Coturnix japonica: one gene and its partner. The protein of the gene in region 1 interacts with the protein of each later gene in a pairwise test. Links are inferred from orthologs where the notes say so. Each region holds a gene or a part of one and is shown on either strand. Other genes may lie near its edges.

The links. The genes of interacting proteins can lie anywhere in the genome.
Region 2: the proteins of MTFR1L (region 1) and ARMC1 interact in binary tests that used the Homo sapiens proteins (3 or more experiments, as listed by UniProt). The two-hybrid records come from large-scale screens. The link is inferred for Coturnix japonica from reciprocal best matches to the Homo sapiens genes MTFR1L and ARMC1.

What each region holds. Positions count from the first base shown.
Region 1 is NC_029538.1:2,042,574-2,046,873, forward strand, and holds the start of MTFR1L (mitochondrial fission regulator 1-like), read right to left. Parts: upstream 2,802-4,300; 5' UTR 2,606-2,801; coding exon 2,591-2,605; intron 1,196-2,590; coding exon 1,091-1,195; intron 580-1,090; coding exon 470-579; intron 78-469; coding exon 1-77. UniProt on the Homo sapiens protein: Mitochondrial protein required for adaptation of miochondrial dynamics to metabolic changes. Regulates mitochondrial morphology at steady state and mediates AMPK-dependent stress-induced mitochondrial fragmentation via the control of OPA1 levels.
Region 2 is NC_029517.1:103,982,477-103,986,689, forward strand, and holds the start of ARMC1 (armadillo repeat-containing protein 1), read right to left. Parts: upstream 2,824-4,213; 5' UTR 2,661-2,823; intron 39-2,660; 5' UTR 11-38; coding exon 1-10.

The DNA of each region.
Region 1 (4,300 bases):
TGGGGACGGAGGCATTTCGCTGTATGACCGTGAAGGGACTCGGTTTCCATTTGTGTTTCAGTGGGCGAGTGTCACTTCTACAAGACAAAGACCTGGTGGTCATTGATGAACCCAAGGCCCTCCACACCAGCATCTCTCTGCCCCTCCCTTGGGGTAGCAAAACAGTTCAACACAATAAATTGTGGTTTCTCTTATACTACAACGCTCTACACCTTGTTTGGATGCGCTGTACCATCACATGTGCTGTCTCTCTGCGTTGCAAAGAACAGAAAGTCAAAGAAATCACAATCAAACAGCACAAGACATGGTGAAATGACACAGAAGTCCTTGGGAAAAACACCTTTGGACAGGCATCACTTCAGTGTTGGAGACCAGAGGTCGTGAGCGCTGGATCAATTTCTGACCTGTGCTACACAAACTAAATCACTTAATAAAAACAAGGATCAACAGACACAAAGATGAAACCAACCTGACTCGGGCATATGTTTCTTCATCATCTGCTGCTATCCACCCAATGTCTGCCAGGGTGGGGACAGGAGGGGCATCGTTTAAATAGAGCTCTGAAACATTGGGTAGAACCTACAAAGAAGAAAGTAACATGAAGGAAATGGTGGTTCTGTTTCCTGAAGCCACTCTGGATTTGCTTTCCTGTTTGTCAGAGCCTTTCTACTCTACAATAAGCCAGCAAACACAACTGCAGAATGCATGACAGCAACACTGTTTACTGTACAGAAACATAGTGCTCCACTGCGTTGGTTTCAATGTGTGTTCTTGGGTGCCTCAGTGTTACGGTGCCTAAATAGCAAAGCAACCAAGGGATATTTGATACTGCTCAACACACCGCCCAGGCCACGTGCAACACTTTGCCATTACAAGTCCTTGAGCTTGAACAGTTACACAAGTGTTTCCATTAACCTTCCTTACTGCTTAGGAAATAGGTTCAGCAGCTGCATGAGGTCACAACACACAGCTATATAAAAGTTTTGCAAGTGCTGGTCTACCTACATTTGGTTTATGGTGCAGCAGTTCATGAGTGGGCCTTGCTTTGCTTCCTACCCACAATCACCAAACTCCTTATGAGCAAGCTTACCTCAAAGGTCGCTCTGGGACAGGGCTTTAAAGGGAGGTTGGATCCAATCCTCCTGACCACGCTGCGCGCCGAGCCATGGGGCTTGTTCTGCCAAATGGGGATCGTCTAAAAGAAGCCACATTGCACAGTTAATATTCAAAGTCAGCTGCCCTTCTTATGACCTATCACACTGGGAACTGTCACATATAGTCTGATCTCTGACTTGCTTAGAGATACTTTTAATTAGGAATACGGGAACCTACTGATAAATAAGGCTCCGATTCCACCAAACTGTGCTTTAGTTGAACATAACCAACAGTGAGTCAGTTACTAAGGGGCCTTTTAAGCATGACTGCACTATTTCAGGACTGAAATCTATAAGTGCTCAGGAACAGAGACTACAAATAAAAAGGAGGAAACCATTGTTGTGTGAGCAGCCCAGAAGAGAAACGAAGCCAGAAGTCACACTTAGAGGAGGCACCTTTAATTGTATGATCCTTAAAAGCGGGGCTGACAGAACAACAGCAAAGTCTATTCAAAGCTTATCCAAACTGAGGGCCCACCAGAACCATCAAAGGGGGCGTTTACAGAAACAGAGTGTTTTTGTGACCTCTGGTTACTAATTAAACTGGATCCTAAGAAGTTCTGTCTCTGGTTGTTCTCCCTCCCCCAGTTTCACAGCTCCACCATTGGCTTTTGGAGAGGACACTGCACAGAACCAGGCAGCAAACACCACAAAAGCCAGGAATCCAAACAGCTTATTTTGCTTATCTCACAGACACACACAGAATGACCCGGGTTGGAAGGGACCTCAAGGATCATGTAGTTCCAACCCCCCTGCCTAGCAGGGCCACCAAACATACACATTTACTACATCAGGTTGCCCAGGAGACCCCATAGATCCCCATAGAGACCCCACAGACCCCATAGAGACCCATAGAGACCCCACAGACTCCATAGATCCCAATAGAGACCCCATAGACCCCACAGATCCCCATAGAGACCCCACAGACTCCATAGATCCCCATAGACCCCATAGGACCCACAGATCCCCATAGAGACCCACAGACTCCATAGATCCCAATAGAGACCCCATAGACCCCACAGACCCCATAGAACCCCACAGACCCCATAGACCCCATAGAGACCCCATAGAGACCCATAGACCCCATAGAACACCCGATAGATGGTTTGACCCTATGCCCGTCACCTGGCCTTGACCACTCCAGGACGGGGCATCCACAACCTCCCTGTGCAGACCTGTTCCAGGCCTTCACCCACTCTCCTGTGAAAGAACTTCCCCCTAACATCCAACCTAAATCTTCCCTCTTTTAACTTAAAACCATTTCCCCGTGTCCTCACCATCGAGTCCATTAAGAATTTATCACTACGCACACAAACCCCACACTCTAACCTTAAAATAGCACTTACATCACTGCATTATCAACTCACTATGGGGGTTATGAATTGAACGAAGGGGCAGCGTGTGGATAACGGGGGCTGGGTGCTGCCGGTACTTACGGACTCTGCTGCCATGTTATCGGTTCGGTTCGGTCCGTTCTCCCGGGTCGGATCAGGGCTGCGCTCTGCGGGTCCCAGGGCCTCGCTCCGGCCTCATGTTCCGCCGCTGGGTCTCGCTATTACACTGTTACCATCCCGTTATAACGCTGCGCTCTACCGAACCCAACCGAACCGGGGCCGACCGGGCCGGGTTAAGCCGAGCCGGAAGCGGAACCTCCCTCCTCACACTTCCGCTTCCGCTATAGAGCAATGGGTAACACGTGAGGCGGAGCGGCCGACCCTCCCCGGTTGGAAAGGACTGAGCGCAGGCGGAGCTGGTGGGATCGGTTTAACTATGAGCGGCTACAAGAGGCCCGGACAGCCCGCAAACGGCGCTGCTAACCCACATGGTGCTGCTGTCACACATCGGCTCTGACCCGCTTGTGGATTTAAGGCCAGAGCGTCACGAAGCACAGGAGACCAGGAGGACAAAGCAGCACCGCCCGCCTCCCGTAAGGAATAACACAAGGTTAATGGAAATACAGTAAGGATACAAATAGAAAACACGCGGCAGGTCAATATAAAATAAGTCCTCGGGGTACAGGTGCCATTAGAGCCCGCTCACAGCAGTAGATGGGAGGTGACAGGTTGGTTGGGGTGTTAACATGAGGATGCTGCTAATCCAGGCTCAGGGTGATGCTTGGTTGGGCTCCTATTGCTTCAACTCACCCCCAATCCCCTCCTTGTTCTGCTCACAGCACCAATGAGATGAGCTCTGCTCCCTCCTCTGCCTGCTGCTGCTCTGTCTGCTTCTCTGAGCCTTGAGAAGACAAGCCCTGAGTGCTCAACCACTGCTCCTCTATGACCCCTTCTGCTGTAAAACTGGTCAAAAGAGAAATAAATGGAACACAACACGTGTGCTGCTTTGAGTCTGCAGCCTGAGGCTAACAAAAAGTGAACAAAAACCCTTCAGGTGAAGCTCTGTAAGAGCCATAAGTGCAGATAACACTCCAGCAGCGCTTCCCAAGGTGCTGGATGGAAACACTCCAGCAGCGCTTCCCAAGGTGCTGGATGGAGGTAGGCACTCTGCTCTGTCACCTTGGTTCAAAGTCCCCAGCAGGGACAGAGGGGGCTGAGATTGGTCTCTTTAATGCCATGGTGACAGGAGCTTGGTCTCTTTAACGCTGTCTGGAGGCTTTGACACTTTCCCCAGCCATCACTGAAGGCAGCGCCTGTATGTAACCCAAACCTGTGATTACTGCAGGCCACTCGAAGGGCTAGAAAAGTACAGAGCTAATGCACAGTTAAAAAGCCAATACTCAGAAACATCCCACACCTAATTAATCTCACTTAGAGCAATTAGCAAAGCTACACTGAGTTGCTCAAAGGTTCATCTAAACTCAGCCTGATGAGAGATCCCTTCCAACCTTATCCATTCTGTGGTTCTGTGAATCATGACCCCAGCATCCATCCCAGGTCCTGATGCCCACAATGAAAGTACCCCCCTTCAAAACAAAAGAGGCTTTCCCCCAGCTCTGGATTTGGTCTAACAAAACTGTGCTTCAGAGAGCAGGAAAAAGCATCACTAGAAAAGGGCTGCTTGCAGCCATCTTTTGAAGATGCTTTGCCTCACCCATCTACAGGAATGTGCTTAAAACACCGTTTCATTTACTCTTCCTTCCCCAAGTTTCACTCACTGTGCAGTCAGCTGTTGGTACAGAGGAGGAACAG
Region 2 (4,213 bases), on another chromosome or scaffold:
TGGAATTCATTTTTTCCTACACCACACGTACAAAATACCTGTCAAAAAAATGTATATGGTATTAATGTTCGCTATCAATTAGAGCAGAGATAAGGTAAGAACATAAATGCATTGATTTGTTACAGGCATAAGAGTACAAAAAAAAGAAGCCTCAAGGAACAAAATTTCTAAGGATAATGATCATAGAACTTTTCAGCTGGAAACTTAAATTTCCCCTGTGGAAAGCAGATAGGGTTTGGTTAATCACATTTTCTCTTGTTTCCTTCAAATACATGCACCGATATGTATAACAGTACATAGTTTATAGCACTGATAAAGATGATCAGAAACTCCATAGTTGTCTCACACCCAATATGCAGACTACAAGTCTACAAACATCCTTCTGTATAAACATGCAAAATAAAACCTGAATTTTCAGTGCCTTTAGCAGTAATCAAATTTCACATAAAAGTGAACCAAATAAGCAGCAAAAGATTAACCCAGCATCAAGCATAATCATAGAATCATAGAATTACCCAGGTTGGAAAAGACCTTGAAGATCATCAAGTCCAACCGCAGCCTAACCAGTACCCTAGCTCTAACAACCCTACACTAAATCATATCCCTGAGCACCACATCCAAACGGCTCTTAAACACAACCAGGGATGGCGATTCAACCACCTCCCTGGGGAGTCTATTCCAGTACCTAACTACCCTTTGTGTAAAGAAGCTCTTCCTAATATCCAAACTAAACTTGCCCTGGCGCAACTTGAGGCCATTTCCCCTTGTCCTGTCATTTGTCACTAGTGAGAAGAGACCTGCCCCACACAGCTTGTGTAACACCATATCCATTTAAAGCTACAAAATACTTAGAGGTGTTGTGATTTTTTTTTGAAACTTCTGACTAGTTTGCATTCAATAAAGAAAAAAAAAGCAGGTCACACCTTGCTTCAGCCAAAGTGCAAGCCAATATTAATTTCAAATGAGACGTGTCAGTGTCTGATTCCACAGTTGTTTTAATGAGGGGTAACTACTTAACAGGCCACAGAAGCATAAGCTTAGATAAAAGAGAAGGTCTGCATCTTGATAGTGACAGAACGATGGGGAATGGATTCAAACTAAAGGAACGGAGATTCAGGTTAGATTTCAGAAAGAAATTGTTACTTCAGAGGGTGGTGAGACACCGGCACAGCTACCCAGAGTAATTGTGGATGCCCCATCCCTGTAGGTGTTCAAGGCCACGTTGGATGGGGCCCTGGGCAGCCTGAGCTGGTGGGTGGCAGCCCTGCCCACAGCACAGAGGTTGAAATTTATACGGGTATTTATATATCATAATGGTATGGGTAATTTATAAGAACTCTTCCAACTCAAACCATTGTATGATTACTTCAAAAGACAGACTGTGTGCTTCCAAAACTATGGAATGTGGTCCTTGGTGCTGCCACTAGAAACTCATGTAAGTAGCTTTATTTTAAGGCACAAAAGCATGAATAATGACATATTAAGTTGCATTCTTTTTCCCCCTGTATAGAAATAAAACTGAATTTGTAACTGGTAACAATCTTTTACCATTATTTCCCAAACAAATAATACCATTCATATATTATATTGTTCTCTTGCTGCTGGTAGATGCACGTGTAGAAGTGTCCAATAGTTTCTCACATTTTCACATTAAATAAAAACCTGCTAATTTCTCCGTCACTGGTTCTTCCTTTGGTAAAGGAAATGTGAGAAGTCAATCATTCCCCTCCATGTTCTTCCCTTTGACTGTACTATGTCCTAGCAAGATTGACTGGGAACTTCAGACCATAATGAATACTTTATATTCTCAAAATAGATGGCTCTAAATTGCTAAAAAGTCTCTATGAAGTTCAGTGTTATTCGGTACATTCTTTAGCTGATCAACAAAACTTACTCAAAGCCTACAAATGAAATGAGTTGAAGTTAATGCGAACAAAAGCCTCTGACTTTCCAGTCATATCCTGAGCACCAGATCCCTCCTCCAGCTCTATTCATCCTTATCCACTTTATCGTTATTCTTCTGATCTCCTGCACACACACGAAACCGGGGTGCCCTCACTGCAGCCTTTCAATACCTGAAGGGAACTTACACCCAGGAGGGGAGTAAACTCTTTGAAAGGGCTGACAATAGCAGGACACGGGGAAATGGTTTTAAGTTAAAAGAGGGAATTTTTAGGTTGGATGTCGGGGGGAAGTTGTTCACTAGGAGAGTGGTTAGGCCCTGGAACAGGCTGCCCAGGGAGGTTGTGGATGCCCCGTCCTTGGAGGTGTTCAAGACCAGGTTGGACGGGGCCCTGGGCAACCTGATCTAGTACATGTGTATGTTTGGTGGCCCTGCCAGGCAGGGGGGTTGGAACTACATGATCCTTGAGGTCCCTTCCAACCCGGGTCATTCTGATTCTGTGATACAAAGTTCTACCCCTCCTCACCATGTCCCACTCTTTTCCTTCCACCCCCTTCTGTCTTCTCAGTCACAACCAAAGCTAAAACCGAAGTTCCCATCTCCTCCACCCCCCACAACACCGTTATTACAGCCGGGAGCCCCGTGGCCGCTGACCAAAGGCCGGGTCCCCTCGCCGCACCTCCCTCCCGGCCAGCCCAGCTCCTCCCGCTCCCACCCCTGCCCCCCGTAGCGGCCTGCACTGCTCCCGGCCTCGTACCGCTGAACGAGCCGTCCTCAAACCGCCACAGCTCAGCCTCAGGCCCCCATCGCCATCAGGGGTCACACACCGGGACACACACGGAGCTCACACCTCTCCCGCTCCGCCACCGGGCCCGCTCGGACCCCACACATCCCTCCACGCCGCAACGCGATTGGTGCGGCGCCGCCCTCGCCTCTCCGCCAATCATAGCTCGTCTTGTTGTCGGCGAGGCGGGATTGGACAACGGCTGCGCCGCAAGGTGCGCTGGGAACTGTAGTCCGCCGCACGGCAGCAGCACAACGACGCAGCCAACGGCGCCTTCTGCAGCGCCGCCTCTTATTGGCGGAGCCCGGTCACGTGTCCGATGGACGCAATCAGACGCGGTGGCTGCCGGGTAAGGTCGCTGGACACCCAGCCGAAGGGCGGTTGAGGTCCCGCCTCCCCTCAAGCCGGCCGCCTATTGGTCGGGGAGGTGCCGGCGCGGCCGCTGATTGGCTGCTGGTGGGGTCGCCAGCTCAGTGAGAGAAGCGGGTGAGAGAGCACGGTGCTGGGGGTGGTTCGGAGCCGGCCGGGCTGCACACGGCCCCACCGGGCGGGAGCGGAGTGTGAGGGGACGGCGGCAGCGGGAGCCGCAGCGCGGGGTGACACTGCAGCGCGGTGAGAAACAACGGGGGGACATGGGGGGGAGGGGGGTGAGGGAGGTGGGGGTGCGTGGGGGCACCGAGAGGAGGTGGCGGGTGTGACGCGGCTGTTTGCGGATTGAACGTGTCACAGAATGACCCGGGTTGGAAGGGACCTCAAGGATCATGTAGTTCCAACCCCCCTGCCTGGCAGGGCCACCAAACATACACATTTACTAGATCAGGTTGCCCAGGGCCCCGTCCAACCTGGCCTTGAACACCTCCAAGGACGGGGCATCCACAACCTCCCTGGGCAGCCTGTTCCAGTGTCCGAAAGCGAAACCCGCTGATGTTGTAGTGTCAGTTATGGGAAGCAAAACATGGAGTTTTAAAGCTGCAGTTAGCTGCCGCCGGATCAGAACCAGCCCGGTCGCCATTTACATTGTGTGGGAGCCTGAAGTTGTTACTAAGAGGCATTATGGCAGAAAAAAGCATAGAACGTTCGGAATGCTTTTCCAGCCATGGACACCCTTCTGTGAATAGAACCTTTCTCAAAGGGGGAGCAGGGATGACGCTGACAACAGCAGCTGGGGAGCTGTGTAAGTCTGGCAGCAGAGTGTGGCTGTACGGTTCTGTCTTTATAACGCCTCACTGCCTGGCTTAGAAATCGGGGAGCACTTCACAGATGGGACCTCAAGGATCATGAATCCCCAACCCCCCCATCACAGACAGGGCCACCAACCTCCCCATTTAATACTAGAACAGGCTGCACAGAGCCCCGTCCAGCCTGGCCTTGAACTCCTTTTTTTATGTGCTTGGTGCTTCTTTGAAATAAATGTACTTATTTATCACAGAATCACAGAATGAGCCGGGTTGGAAGGGACCTCAAGGATCGTGTAGTTCCAACCTCCCTGCCTGGCAGGGCCACTACATACACTATTGTATAACGTT